Linked DNA regions of Macaca fascicularis. The protein of the gene in region 1 interacts with the protein of each later gene in a pairwise test. Links are inferred from orthologs where the notes say so. Each region holds a gene or a part of one and is shown in the gene's direction. Other genes may lie near its edges.

Region 1 (6,350 bases):
CCCATGCTCCCCACTCCCCCGCCCTGTATCTTGGGGCTTTAAAGAAATGGACCCTTACAGCTGATTTCTCCAGGGGCAAGAATTCTGCAGCAGGATTCAGATTCTTTAACTTGTACTTCACACAGGGCTAAGCAGTGTTACCATGACCACAAGAGATGGAGTTGGGGATTTTTTTTTCATCCAATCATTCCTTAAATATTGAGCGCTTTCTGTATACAAAGAGACATATTGATACATGGTCCTTTTTCTCATAGAGGTTATCTCCTAGAGGAAAAGAGAACAAAGAAACAAGATATTTACAAACAGCAGTGGGCTCTATGAAGAAAATTGATAGAAAGGGAGCAAAAGGCTAGAGAAGCCAATGCCATTGTCTCAGGGTCACACAGTGACAGGAATACCCTCTCATTGTTCTCCATGGGTGCCTGGTGGGGCTTGCCTTGGGCTAATATTGGCCAGAGGCAATACTCAGAAGTTTTCCTGCTGGGTGCTGGGCCCACTGAAGATGAAGGTCAGGGCAGGAAACAGAAGAGGTGCACTCTGACTCTTCCTCCAGCTCTAAGCCCTGGAGAATAAAGCTCAGACAGGGCTGGCTGCAGGGAGCACGGCTCACCACCACTAGCTGCTCAGGTGAGGGGAAAAGGAAGTCAAAAGATTATGCCCTCTGATAGGCCTGTCCTATTTTGCAGGTGCTGCTGATAAAGCTGGAACTCGAGAAAACCAGGTTGGCTGGGGATTGCTCTCTTCTTGGGTAGGAAGGAAAGCCACAGGCTAGAGCCACCTTTAAATTAGCTTCTTATTAGATTTCCTGAGGCTTTATTTCATGAGAACACCCTGGAGATTCTGAGGGTTTTCACTCACAGCCCCCTCCCATCTCTATGAATAGAAAAGCTTTGCCCCAGGGCATGTTTTTAGCTAAGGAAAGGGTGTCTTGCCAGGATCATTTTTCCTCATTCCACAGGAGACCCCAGGGTCACCATAGCCAGGCCCAGTAGTCAGCTGAAATAAGCTGCCAGTCAGACCTATTCACCTGAGCCTCCAACTCCCCAGCCACCCCAGACACCTTGTCGGCTCTCAGACCACCTGGGATCCGGACCTGAAGAGTTGAAGAGTATGTCCTTGAAAAACAGCCAGCCAGCTCCAGGCCCAGCCTAGCCTGGGCGTCTGCCTTAATGGCCTGAAGAGCTCCTCCCAGTCTTTGAGCTTCCTAATCTGTCTCTATTGGCAGGTTCTGCTGCCTTGCCTTGTCTCATCTCAGCCTCCCTCGCCACAGCTGTGTGGCCACAGTGATAAATCTACACAGCTGCACAGTGCTTGATGGCTTGCAGGGCAATTTTATATCCATCACCTCATTTGATCTTTAGACATCCCTGTGAGAGAGGCCAGACATTCTTATAATCCCCATTTTACAGTTAGGGAAATGAGGCTCAGAGGCATTACATTTGGTTGAGGTCACATAGCTAGCAAGCGGTAGAGCTACAAAATCATATTACCCTCTAGTAGAAACGTAGTCAGTAACATCCCAAGAGAGGGGAGAGGGATCAGAATTGGATTACAATAGAAGACTAGAAACCAGGATGGAAACATGGGACCGGTGACTGAGCAAGCAGCCATTACTCATAGTGACTACTCTCTATCCTTCTCATCCTGCCAGCCAGCTGTGGTGCATCTACAGGGCCAAGGGTCAGCAATTCAAGTCAAGAATGGTAAGAATCAAAATAGGCTCTCTCCCAAAGAGGAGCTTCTCCCCTTCCTCCTCCCCAACCTCCAAATAATCACCCAGCCTAGTTCCTCCCAGGGCCCTGAGGTACCCTTGGCATACGAAGTCATTCTTTGCTCCATCATGCCCTCTACTGGCTGTCCTGAGCAATTGCTAGCATCAAGACCAGTTGCTACACCCAAATTGCATTTAGAATCACTGATTACGGAGCTGAAAGGGACTTGAGACATCATCTAGCCCAGGCATTCTCAGGCGATGGAGTTTATATCAGAGCCACCACGGAGATATGTGTAGTTAGATTAATATTTTCACAATACAAATTATAGAAAGTAAAACAATGTAAAATTAAATTCTTCTTGTCTGATGGATCTACGCAGATGGGCAGACGGGCTGCTTCTCTCAGGGCAAGTGGGGCATGTTGGAATCTCCAGGGAGTTGAAGATGCTAGTGTCTATCAAAAGGGAGAATGTGTTTAATGGGTTTAAGAAGCACTGATTTATCGTAATCCCCGCATTTAACAGATGAGGAAACAGAGTCCCAGAGAGATTGGATAATACATTAATAAATCATGCTGCCTCATTTTGTATGATACTTTAGAGTTTTCAGCATGCTTTCTTTGTCTTTAATTTCATCCAGTCCTCACAACCACCCTATGAGGTAGGTATGAGCTCCTTTTTACAAAGACAGAAAGTGAAGTTCAGAGAGGCTAATTAACTTTCCCAATATTTCTTAGTCAAGTTCGTTTAGGAGCCAGGATTCAAAACTACATCTTTCTGACTCTTTCCTCTCCCCTATGCTACTTCAGTGATATGTATGTACACTCCACTGAATGATAAGGTTCATTTTCTTCCCCCAAAGAGACATGAACATTCATGAAAGAACAGCACTTTGGAATAATGTCCAGTCCCCAGAGTGCACAAAGCCTAAAATGCGTGAACCCCCAGGAGCCTTGGGAAGCAGCAAGCTAACCAAAATGCTAGATGCTTACAGAGCTTGGAGTGGAAGGGAGGGGTTTTGAGTACAGAAACGGTAAAGGAAGGTTAAAAAAAAAAAAAACAGCTACCTGGGGACAGTTTCTAAGAACTCAGTCAGTCCTGAACTGGCTGTAATGAGTTTCCTTAATGACTGTATTTAGTTACTTCCCTGACTGCCACCTCCATGTCTGACTTAGTAGCCTCAGAAGTGTAAATAGGAAGAGAATGGCACCAAAACCCAATTGGTCCTGCTGGGGACCGCAAGGCCCTGAGTGGGCCATGATCCCCACCTGTCCAGGGAGGCCAGAGACAGGCCAAAATAGATTTGTTTGGGTATCTAGACAGATAGTGTTTCTTCTGTGCCAGCAGCCACTGATTTTGCTCCCACTGCCACACAGTAGGATTGTTTCCAGCCCCTCTGGGCCAATCCTCAGAAGTGGTCTGTGCTGACCCTTAGTACTACCAGAAGAAGTGATGGGGGTGGGGTGCAGTGGCTCACGCCTGTAATCCCAGCACTTTGGGAGGCCGAGGGGAGCAGATCACTTGAGGCCAAAATTTGAGACCAGCCTGGCCAACGTGGTGAAACTCCGTCTCCACAAAAAATACGAAAATTAGCTGGGCATAGTGGCACGCACCTGTAATTCCAGCTGCTCGGGAGGCTGAGACAGGAGGATCACTTGAACCCGGGAGGTGGAGGTCGCAGTGAGCCAAGATCACACCACTGCACTCCAGCCTTGGTGACAGAGTGCGTGACAGTCCCTCTCAAAAAAAAAAAAAAGAAGAAGAAGAAGAAGTGATGGGGTCAGGGATTGGAGGACGTCATGCAGAGTGGTCCACTGATGGGACAGAGCCAGGGCAGTTCCTCCTAACTCCCAGCCCGTCTACTTACCACCTCAAGGAAAGATGGTCACCTTTTCCAGAAAACCTGTTTCCTCATCCCTCAGAGAGACAGGCCTACTGAAACTGACCAAAGATGGACTTACAAAATATAATTTCTTGGGTGCAGGATGGATGACTTAGAAGGGAAAAGGCTCCCTGGGCTTGGATGTCCTCCTCTCATGGTGGGAAGGAACATTCCTCTTCTGCAGGATGGAAAGAGAAGATTTTCCTCCACCCTCACACGCTGGCTTCCACTGTCCAAAGGAATGCGACTGCCCCTCCACCCCTGCCTGGGGTGGAGCTGAGACAGATGTTTTGCCAAGGGTGCCTCGGCTCCTATCCTCCCGGCTGGCTCTGTTGCAGCCTGCCAGTCTATCTTTCACTCTCATAAGGATCCCTCTCACCTATGGGGCCCTGGTACTGGTGGTCAGTAGCCCCAGCTGCCGTGGAGTCTGAATCATCTCTAATCCCTAAGGTTCTCCAGATAGACAGTGGGCTGAGTGGTTTCCTCCCAGGGAGGCTTTCCAGAAAGCTGTGGGTGTGGAAGAACCATAAAAAAAGAATCTCTTAAGGAGAAAGAGAAAACCCATGAACCTATGAGACAAGAGGAATTCAGGAGCTCTGACTGGGAAAGTAAAATTGAATAATAAGACCTAGCCTGCCACTCAGTGTCTGAATTTTGCCTGTGCAGGCCCCATAACAACAAAGAAAATAGGGCAGCATGCCCACTCTCATCCTCCTCCGGCAAATTCCAGCTAGAAGGTAATGGTTAAAGACCCTTCCAGATGCAAGGGTCAAGAAAGGAAGTATAAAGACAGACAGGAGCCCAGGAGCCCTGAAGCAGGCCTGGCAGCTGCTTTACAAACAGAACAGCTTCTCTGCTTTCAAATGCTCTTCTTAAAGTTTGGCCTTCTACGCTACCCTGGTTGCACTGGGATAGGGTTGGGGGTCGTGAACTCCTTGGTATTTATTTTCTGTTGCCTCGATTATTCTGACATGTACTGAGTGACTGCCCTTCTCTCATACTGAGATCTTTCAGGTGGAGTGCTCAATGACTGGTCTCGCATCACTATGAACCCCAAGGTGTTTAAGCTACATCCCCGCAGCGGGGAGCTGGAGGTACTGGTGGACGGCACCTACTTCATCTATAGTCAGGTAGAAGTGAGTACGGTCTTAGGCCTAACTCTTCTTATATCCAGAATGCAGATCCGGTGCAGACCACATAGGGGCACTGTGGAGCCAGCCAAGACCATCCAATGGCTAACTTCCTGCTTTGGGTGAGGGGGTGGGGGGACCGCACTGGGAGGGAGTTGAAAGAAGGAAAGAGAGAGGAGGCCAGCTTGTTTTGTTTTGTTTTGTTTTGTTTTGTTTTGTTTTGTTTTGTTTTGTTTTGTTTTTCCCTAGCCAAATATTATTGAAAAACTGTGAAAAAGGCCCCTCCTACATTCTGCCATCTGATTCCCTCCTGCAGGGCCTCAGGCCCCTGTTTACCCTCCGAGCTGTTTGGCTCCACTGCCAAACTTGAACTTGGTCTCAGTATATTCTTTGAAAGTCAGTTCCAGGGTTACTGAGAACCCCTCCCCTCAACACTGCTGGCTCGGGCGTTATAATGAATAGTGCTCCTGCAGACTTTCTTTCTACCTCAAAAAGATTTCTGACTGTCTTTCCTTCCTCTTTCTCCCATTTGTTTCCCTATCTTTCTATTCCTCTATTCTTGCCTCCTTCCTGCTGTTATTCTCCCAGCCCTTTCTCCCTCTGCTTTTGTCCTCTTCCTGCCCTGGGCCCGCTCCCCAAGTCTGCCAGTGTCCATCTACTTCCATTCCCCGATTGTTTGCCTCCACGGGGATGGCTCCTTGGAGATAGAGGAAGATGAGCCATGAGGTTGGGACTTTTGTGGGGTGGGCAGCAAGCAGGCAGGTGGGCAGAAGGACTATGGAACCAACACATGGGTGTCACAGGAGAGCGGCCAGCAAAGGTGGGCTAACAAGCATTTGCTAGGCACACTGAGCACCCCGGTGTAGCTTGGGTCCTGATCCATATGTGGCACCCAAATATGCTGTTCCCAGCTGAAGAGCTGATGGAGGGAGTGACCTTTCATAAAAAGATTTACAGTGATATCTGAGAGTCCCAACACCCGTGGGGCACATGGGCATAACCCTGATGTCCTATGAGCCAAGCTCCACGTGGTGGGGGCAGTGGGGGCGGTGGTGGGGGAGGGCAGATCACAACTTGGTGTGAGGTATGATGGATAAGGGTAGTGAAGGATGGAAAAATTAATTTTCTGAGCCTAGGAGAGAATTGAGAGTGGCCCATGCAGGCTGGGAAAATCCCCATGACATTAGGCCACTGAGCATAAGTTAGTGCCTCCTTCTGGCCACAAAGTCAGGGGCCTGGGCTTTTCCAAATTCTTTGTCTTGTTTGCGGTAGCTAGCTCTCCATCTCTCTGGACCTGTTTCCTCAATCATCAAATGGGAGGCTCAAGGGGTACTGTGAATCAGTGAGGGGAGTCCAGGCACAGGGGAGGGGTGGTGCAAGCTGAATAAGCTTCTGTTAAGGAGCTGAAGAAATCGCAAGTTGTTATATGACCTCTCTGGGGAATCAGTGACTTCTAAGTTTCTCCACAAATAGTCCGCGGGGCTCAAGAGTGGAAGTCGGTTTGTGTCTACGGCACTGTGTGCACACCTGCTATGTGCAGGGCACTCTGCTTCGTGTCAGAGCTGGGGCAGGGGCGGGTGGGGGTACAGGGGCACGGTGAAGCTGCAAATAGGGCATGGTTCTTA
Region 2 (5,690 bases), on another chromosome or scaffold:
TCAGTACTTCCTTCTGTTCCCTTCAGCACTTTCCTCTCTCAGGAATGGGCTAACAGGTTGAGAGAGGCTTTTATGAGATGTATAAAAAGACTTAGGAGAAAATAAAATCTGACAGTTGGGGTAAGGTAGTAATATGTTGATTAACAATAATATATCAACAAATGTTAACAGTCACTATGTCTGGCAATTAATTATAACTTTTTTACTCTATTTTTTATTTTTCTTATTTCAAAATTGATGCAGAAGTATCCTGATTGAAAACAAAATGTCCCCCAAGTGTTAATAACCATTATCTCTGGACAGTTAATACAGTTAATTTTCAGTCTATATATAATTTTTCTGTAATAGCATGTAAGTTCTTATTTGTTTTATTAATCATCAAAGTATAGACCCCACAGGCAGCAATAGCTTGTGGTATCTCTGAAAGAAGGCATGATGGAAACTACTGCTATTAAGTAGAGGTCTGTAAATAGAAAATGTCTGTGGTAGATGGTGAGATAATAATAATTACTACACATTCCAAGCTTGATAGTCTTCAGTACTTAAAATCAAATCTTATTAAAATGTTAGTTAAGATAACATTCTATAAAGCTATAAAATCATAAAAAGGAATGACAATTTCAATCCACATTTTTGGTAAAACACTTCCCATTTAACACTATTTTATTTTGGATTAAAATCAAGATCCAGGGAACAATTTGTTGTATGCATTTCCTTTTTATGAGATTGGCTCTGGAGCTATTAATACAGTAACTGATCAAACCAATTACATCTACAGTGTAACAGATTTAAAGAAACTGTATGTGAGAACTTTTACCCAAAAGAATAACCCAAAACGAGCTGTACCTTAAACCAAATACAGCAGGTCCTCAAATAACATCATTTCCTTCTATGTCATTTTGTTATAACATTTAAGTATGTGTGCAGCTTGAATGTTCTCTCCATATCTGTGGGACTCTCGTTTCCTCCCATATCCCAAAACTGTGCACATTAGGTTCACTGGCGTGTTTAAGTTGTCCTGGGTTGAGTGTGAGTGTGTACATGAGTGTATCCTGTGATGGAGTGGTCTCCTATCCAAGGTGGGTTCCTCCCTCCTTGACTGCTGGGATTGGCTCCAGCCACCAGCACCCCAAACCAGAATAAGAGGGTTGAAAAATGAATGAACGGATGAATACAAATTATTATCAAATAAAAACTGGTAAAGTCTAGGGTGATCATACAAATGCATGACAATAAATGCTATGGCACAAAAGCACTCAGAGATCCCACTGTATTTCTCAAACATTGATTCCATGTTTTTAATTGACCACCACAATCACTGTTACTCACTGATTCACGAAATACTGGGTAATTATCTTTGTTGGCTTTTTTTTTGAGACAGAGTTTTGCTGTGTCACCCAGGCTGGAGTACAGTGGCATGATCTGGGCTCACTGCAACCCCTGCCTCCTGGGCTCCAGCGATCCTCCCAAGTAGCTAGGATTACAGGCACATGCCACCAGCCTAGCTAATTTTTATATTTTTAGTAGAGACAGGGTTTCACCATGTTGGCCAGGCTGGTCTCAAACTCCTGACCTCAGGGGATCTGCCCGCCTTGGCCTCCCAAAGTGCTGGGATTACAGGCGTGAGCCACTGCACCCGGCCTATCTGGTTTTTATTAATCTTTCTTAAATGTACATATAATTCATATTTCTCTCAACGTTTAATATTAGAAGTGTTTGGGTCTTTATTGAGAAGTTTGGTGATGTTCTTGTGACCAGAAATGTGCTATAGGAACTTACCTCTTATTTACATCAATCAGCCTAGGGTAAAAATGGTTTTGTTATATGTTGTTTTGCATAAAGTCTTGGTTTCCAGGAACTTATGGATGACACTGAGGATTACTGCAATACTTGTAGTAAATTTGGGAGAAAAAGGCAAAGACTGAAGTTACTACTCCTAACACAAATGAGACTGTCATGTTGTGCCCCATCAAAAAAGGAGAAAGAGAGACACATGGAAACACATGCGCACACACACACACACACACACACACACACACACACACACACAGAGAGACAGAGAGAGAGACAGAGAGAGAGACTATAGAAACACTTGATGTTATAAATAACAATAGTGCTGAGGAAGATGAATTAATACAACATTGTATTTTTTGTCCTGATAATAGGTTACATATATTATTCTAATCCATTTATTATTTTTACATTCCAGGCTACCTAAAAGAAGACAGTTATCTCATATTTGGCTACCAGCTTTTTATCTTTCTCTCAATCACTTAAAACTTCAGACTTCCTCTCCTGCTGGTATCATGGAGAAAGTCCAATACCTCACTCGCTCAGCTATAAGAAGAGCCTCAACCATTGAAATGCCTCAACAAGCACGTCAAAATCTACAGAATCTATTTATCAATTTCTGTCTCATCTTAATATGTCTCTTGCTGATCTGTATCATCGTGATGCTTCTCTGAAGTTCTGCTACAACCTCTAGATCTGCAACTTGCCACATCAGCTTAAAATCTGTCATCCCATGCAGACGGGAAAACAATACTGTAAAACAGACCACTTCCTGAGTAGAAGAGTTTCTTTGTGAAAAGGTCAAGATTAAGACTAAAACTTATTGTTAGCAAATGTATTCATCTGCTGGATCTTGTAAACATGAAAAGGGCTTTATTTTCAAAAATTAACTTTAAAATAAGTGTATAAAACGTAACTGTTGATTTCCTCAACATGGCTCACAAATTTGTATCCCAAATCTTTTCTGAAGATGAAATAAGAGTTTAGTTTTGAAACTGCACTGCCAACAAGTTCACTTCATATATAAAGCATTATCTTTACTCTTTTGAGGTGAATATAACTTATATTACACTGTAAAAGCTTCTTTAATACTATTTTTCAAGTCTTCACCAAGTATCAAAGTAATAACACAAATGAAGTGTCATTATTCAAAACAGTCCACTGACTCCTCACATCTGTTATCTTATTATAAAGAACTCTGTAGTAACTCTTTGTAGTAACATTCTAAAACAGAAATTGCATTTTTGCTATGCCACATTAACATTTTTTAAAGTTGATGAGAATCAAGTATGGAAAAGTAAGGCCATACTCTTACATAATAAAATTACTCTTAAGTAATTTTTTCAAAGAATCACAGAATTCTAGTACCTGTAGGTAAACCATAAATCTGTTCTAAGACATATGATCAACAGATGAGAACTGGGGGTTAATATGTAACAGTGAGATTAGTCATATCACTAATATACTAACAGAATAGAATCTAATCTTCATTTAAGACACTGTAGTGAATTATCTGACCTAGAGTTACCTAGTTTACCACGCTGTATCTTTTGAATCATGAAACCTTAAGACTTCAGACTGATTTTACAGGTTGTCTTCCATTCCAACCTAACATCCAATGCAGGCAAGGAAAATAATACAAGATTTCCAGTGACAAAAAATTATATTATCTCAAGTATTTAAAAAAAATAAAAATATGAATTCTCTCTCCAAATATTAACTAATTCTTAGATTATATTTTGAAATGAACTTGTTGGCCCATCTATTACATCTACAGCTGACCCTTGAATATGGGGGTTAGGGGAGCTGACAATCCATGGGTCTGCAAAATCTTAACTACCTAATAGCCTACTGTTGACCATAAACCTTACTGATAACATAAACAGTAAATTAACACATATTTTGCATGTTATATGTATTATACACTGTATTCCTACAATAAAGTAAGCTAGAGAAAAGAAAATGTTATTTAGAACATTGTAAAAAAGAGAAAATATATTTACTATTCAGTAAATGGAAGTGGGTTAACATAAAAGTCGTCATTCTCATTGTCTTCACATTGAGAGGAGGAAGAGAAGGAGAAAGACGGGGAGGAAGAGCAGAGGTTGGTCTTGCAATCTTGTCTTAGGGGTGTGGAGAGTGGGGAAAAAGAATATTCATGTATAAGTGGACCCTCGCTATTCAAGCCCTTGTTGTTCAAGGGTCAACTGTAACAGGAGATAGCTATTTTTCTTCATCTATCAACCAAATGGCAAGCATCTATTTCGTAGGCCACTCTACTGAGCTTAATTATAGATGCAGCAATGTTACCTATAATTATTTTCTTGATGAATAAATTTTCAATTTCTCCTCTGATCATTTCAGAACATCTTCCAATAACTCATAAAACAACTGAAGTAAAATTTAGTGCTGGAAAATATGTTCACCAAACTTAGGTTAAAATTAAGTTTAAAATAGTTCACACCTATACTGCATAATCCAACAATTTTAATTTCAGTTGAAGACATGTTACTAATATAACTATTATTAAAAGAGTAGAGGATGTGTAATTAACCATATCTTCTAAAACATGATTACTAAAAGAATATATAACATCAATATTGACCTTGGTTTCTTACACAAGTGTTGCTAACTCAATAGTGAAGGAGACACCATTAAATTTTCTGAACCCATGAGAGGTACTGGAGATGGGGAGTGGAAAGTGTTTGGTTCAGGGATATCTGAAGAACAGAAGGGCAGAGATTTCTTAAGTGACGCCTCATCTACAAGCTGGAAATCCCTAATAACAAGTAAAAAGCTTATAAATAACAGGTGATACACTCAACTCACTGGTTTTAGTAAATTACCAACACAAAAAGTATTCAAGTTCTATAATAAGCTGCACTGGTCTTAAAAACAAGTGGAAAATTTGAACGGATTAGTCATACTCCTATGATTACATTGTTCATTACAATCTTTTTCTCAGTAAACAGAAATAACTAATTTTTTTGTTCTTCATTCTTTGATAAAAATTAAAATCTTATTCTGTGAGGATTACAGAATACTATAACTCAAATTATGAAGTAGAATAAACTCTTTAAATAATTATTCTTTATCACAAAGTGTAAAGAAAAAGATACAAGAAAACAATTTATTTTTAAAATTTAATATACTAAACGCTCAAATATGTTCTACCATAGAATAAGTTCTTATCTTAATTTACAGGGTACTAAAAACAATTTTAAAATGCTTAATGTTACCTTTTATATTTTAATTGGATAAGAATATATATTTGTTTAATGCAAATCAGAATCACTATATTAAAATGAAGGTTCTTGAAAACTCAGTGAAGCTGCTCTACAATACACTTAGAACTGATACTACCGATAAAAAAATTCTAATTTTAGTTTTGATTTTACAGGGGTTTTGTTTGGTGACTTTCCCCAAATAAAACAAAATCAAGATGCACAAGTACAGACACACAAGGGGGCAGACCTATATAAGATAATGAATTGCTACTACACAGACATTATTTATCTTTTGATTATTTTTGAGTCTTCTTGCAAAGTAGGGCTATAATAAATTTTCAGAAAAGATCTGTTCTTCTGCTAAGTAACAACACACTTTAAAATGTCCAGAATTTTATGCCAATATTACATAGAAAACTTGACAGATAAAAAAGTCAAACACATTACTAATTTTATTCATTAAAACATGTATATAAAAGTCCTTTTTAACTACCTAATGTATGTGTCATATCCTAATATAGGGAGTGTCATGGTGTCCACATCTTTGAATATATAAATTATCTCAAACAGTTAAAAAATAAAAGAACAGAGTACAAAAATAAGAAAGAATGAAAATAAGAAAACTTTCTTTTCACAGGACATAACAGAATACATTAAACACTCCCAAGTTAT

Evidence for each region. The genes of interacting proteins can lie anywhere in the genome.
Region 2: the proteins of EDA (region 1) and PLN interact in binary tests that used the Homo sapiens proteins (3 or more experiments, as listed by UniProt). The link is inferred for Macaca fascicularis from reciprocal best matches to the Homo sapiens genes EDA and PLN.

The regions. Positions count from the first base shown.
Region 1 is NC_088395.1:76,784,023-76,790,372, forward strand, and holds part of EDA (ectodysplasin-A), read left to right. Parts: intron 1-686; coding exon 687-721; intron 722-1,651; coding exon 1,652-1,703; intron 1,704-4,600; coding exon 4,601-4,731; intron 4,732-5,313; coding exon of another isoform or gene 5,314-5,433; exon of another isoform or gene 5,434-5,548; intron 5,549-6,350. UniProt on the Homo sapiens protein: Cytokine which is involved in epithelial-mesenchymal signaling during morphogenesis of ectodermal organs. Functions as a ligand activating the DEATH-domain containing receptors EDAR and EDA2R. May also play a role in cell adhesion.
Region 2 is NC_088378.1:22,494,731-22,500,420, forward strand, and holds the end of PLN (phospholamban), read left to right. Parts: intron 1-2,209; 5' UTR 2,210-2,306; coding exon 2,307-2,465; 3' UTR 2,466-3,826; downstream 3,827-5,690. UniProt on the Homo sapiens protein: Reversibly inhibits the activity of ATP2A2/SERCA2 in cardiac sarcoplasmic reticulum by decreasing the apparent affinity of the ATPase for Ca(2+).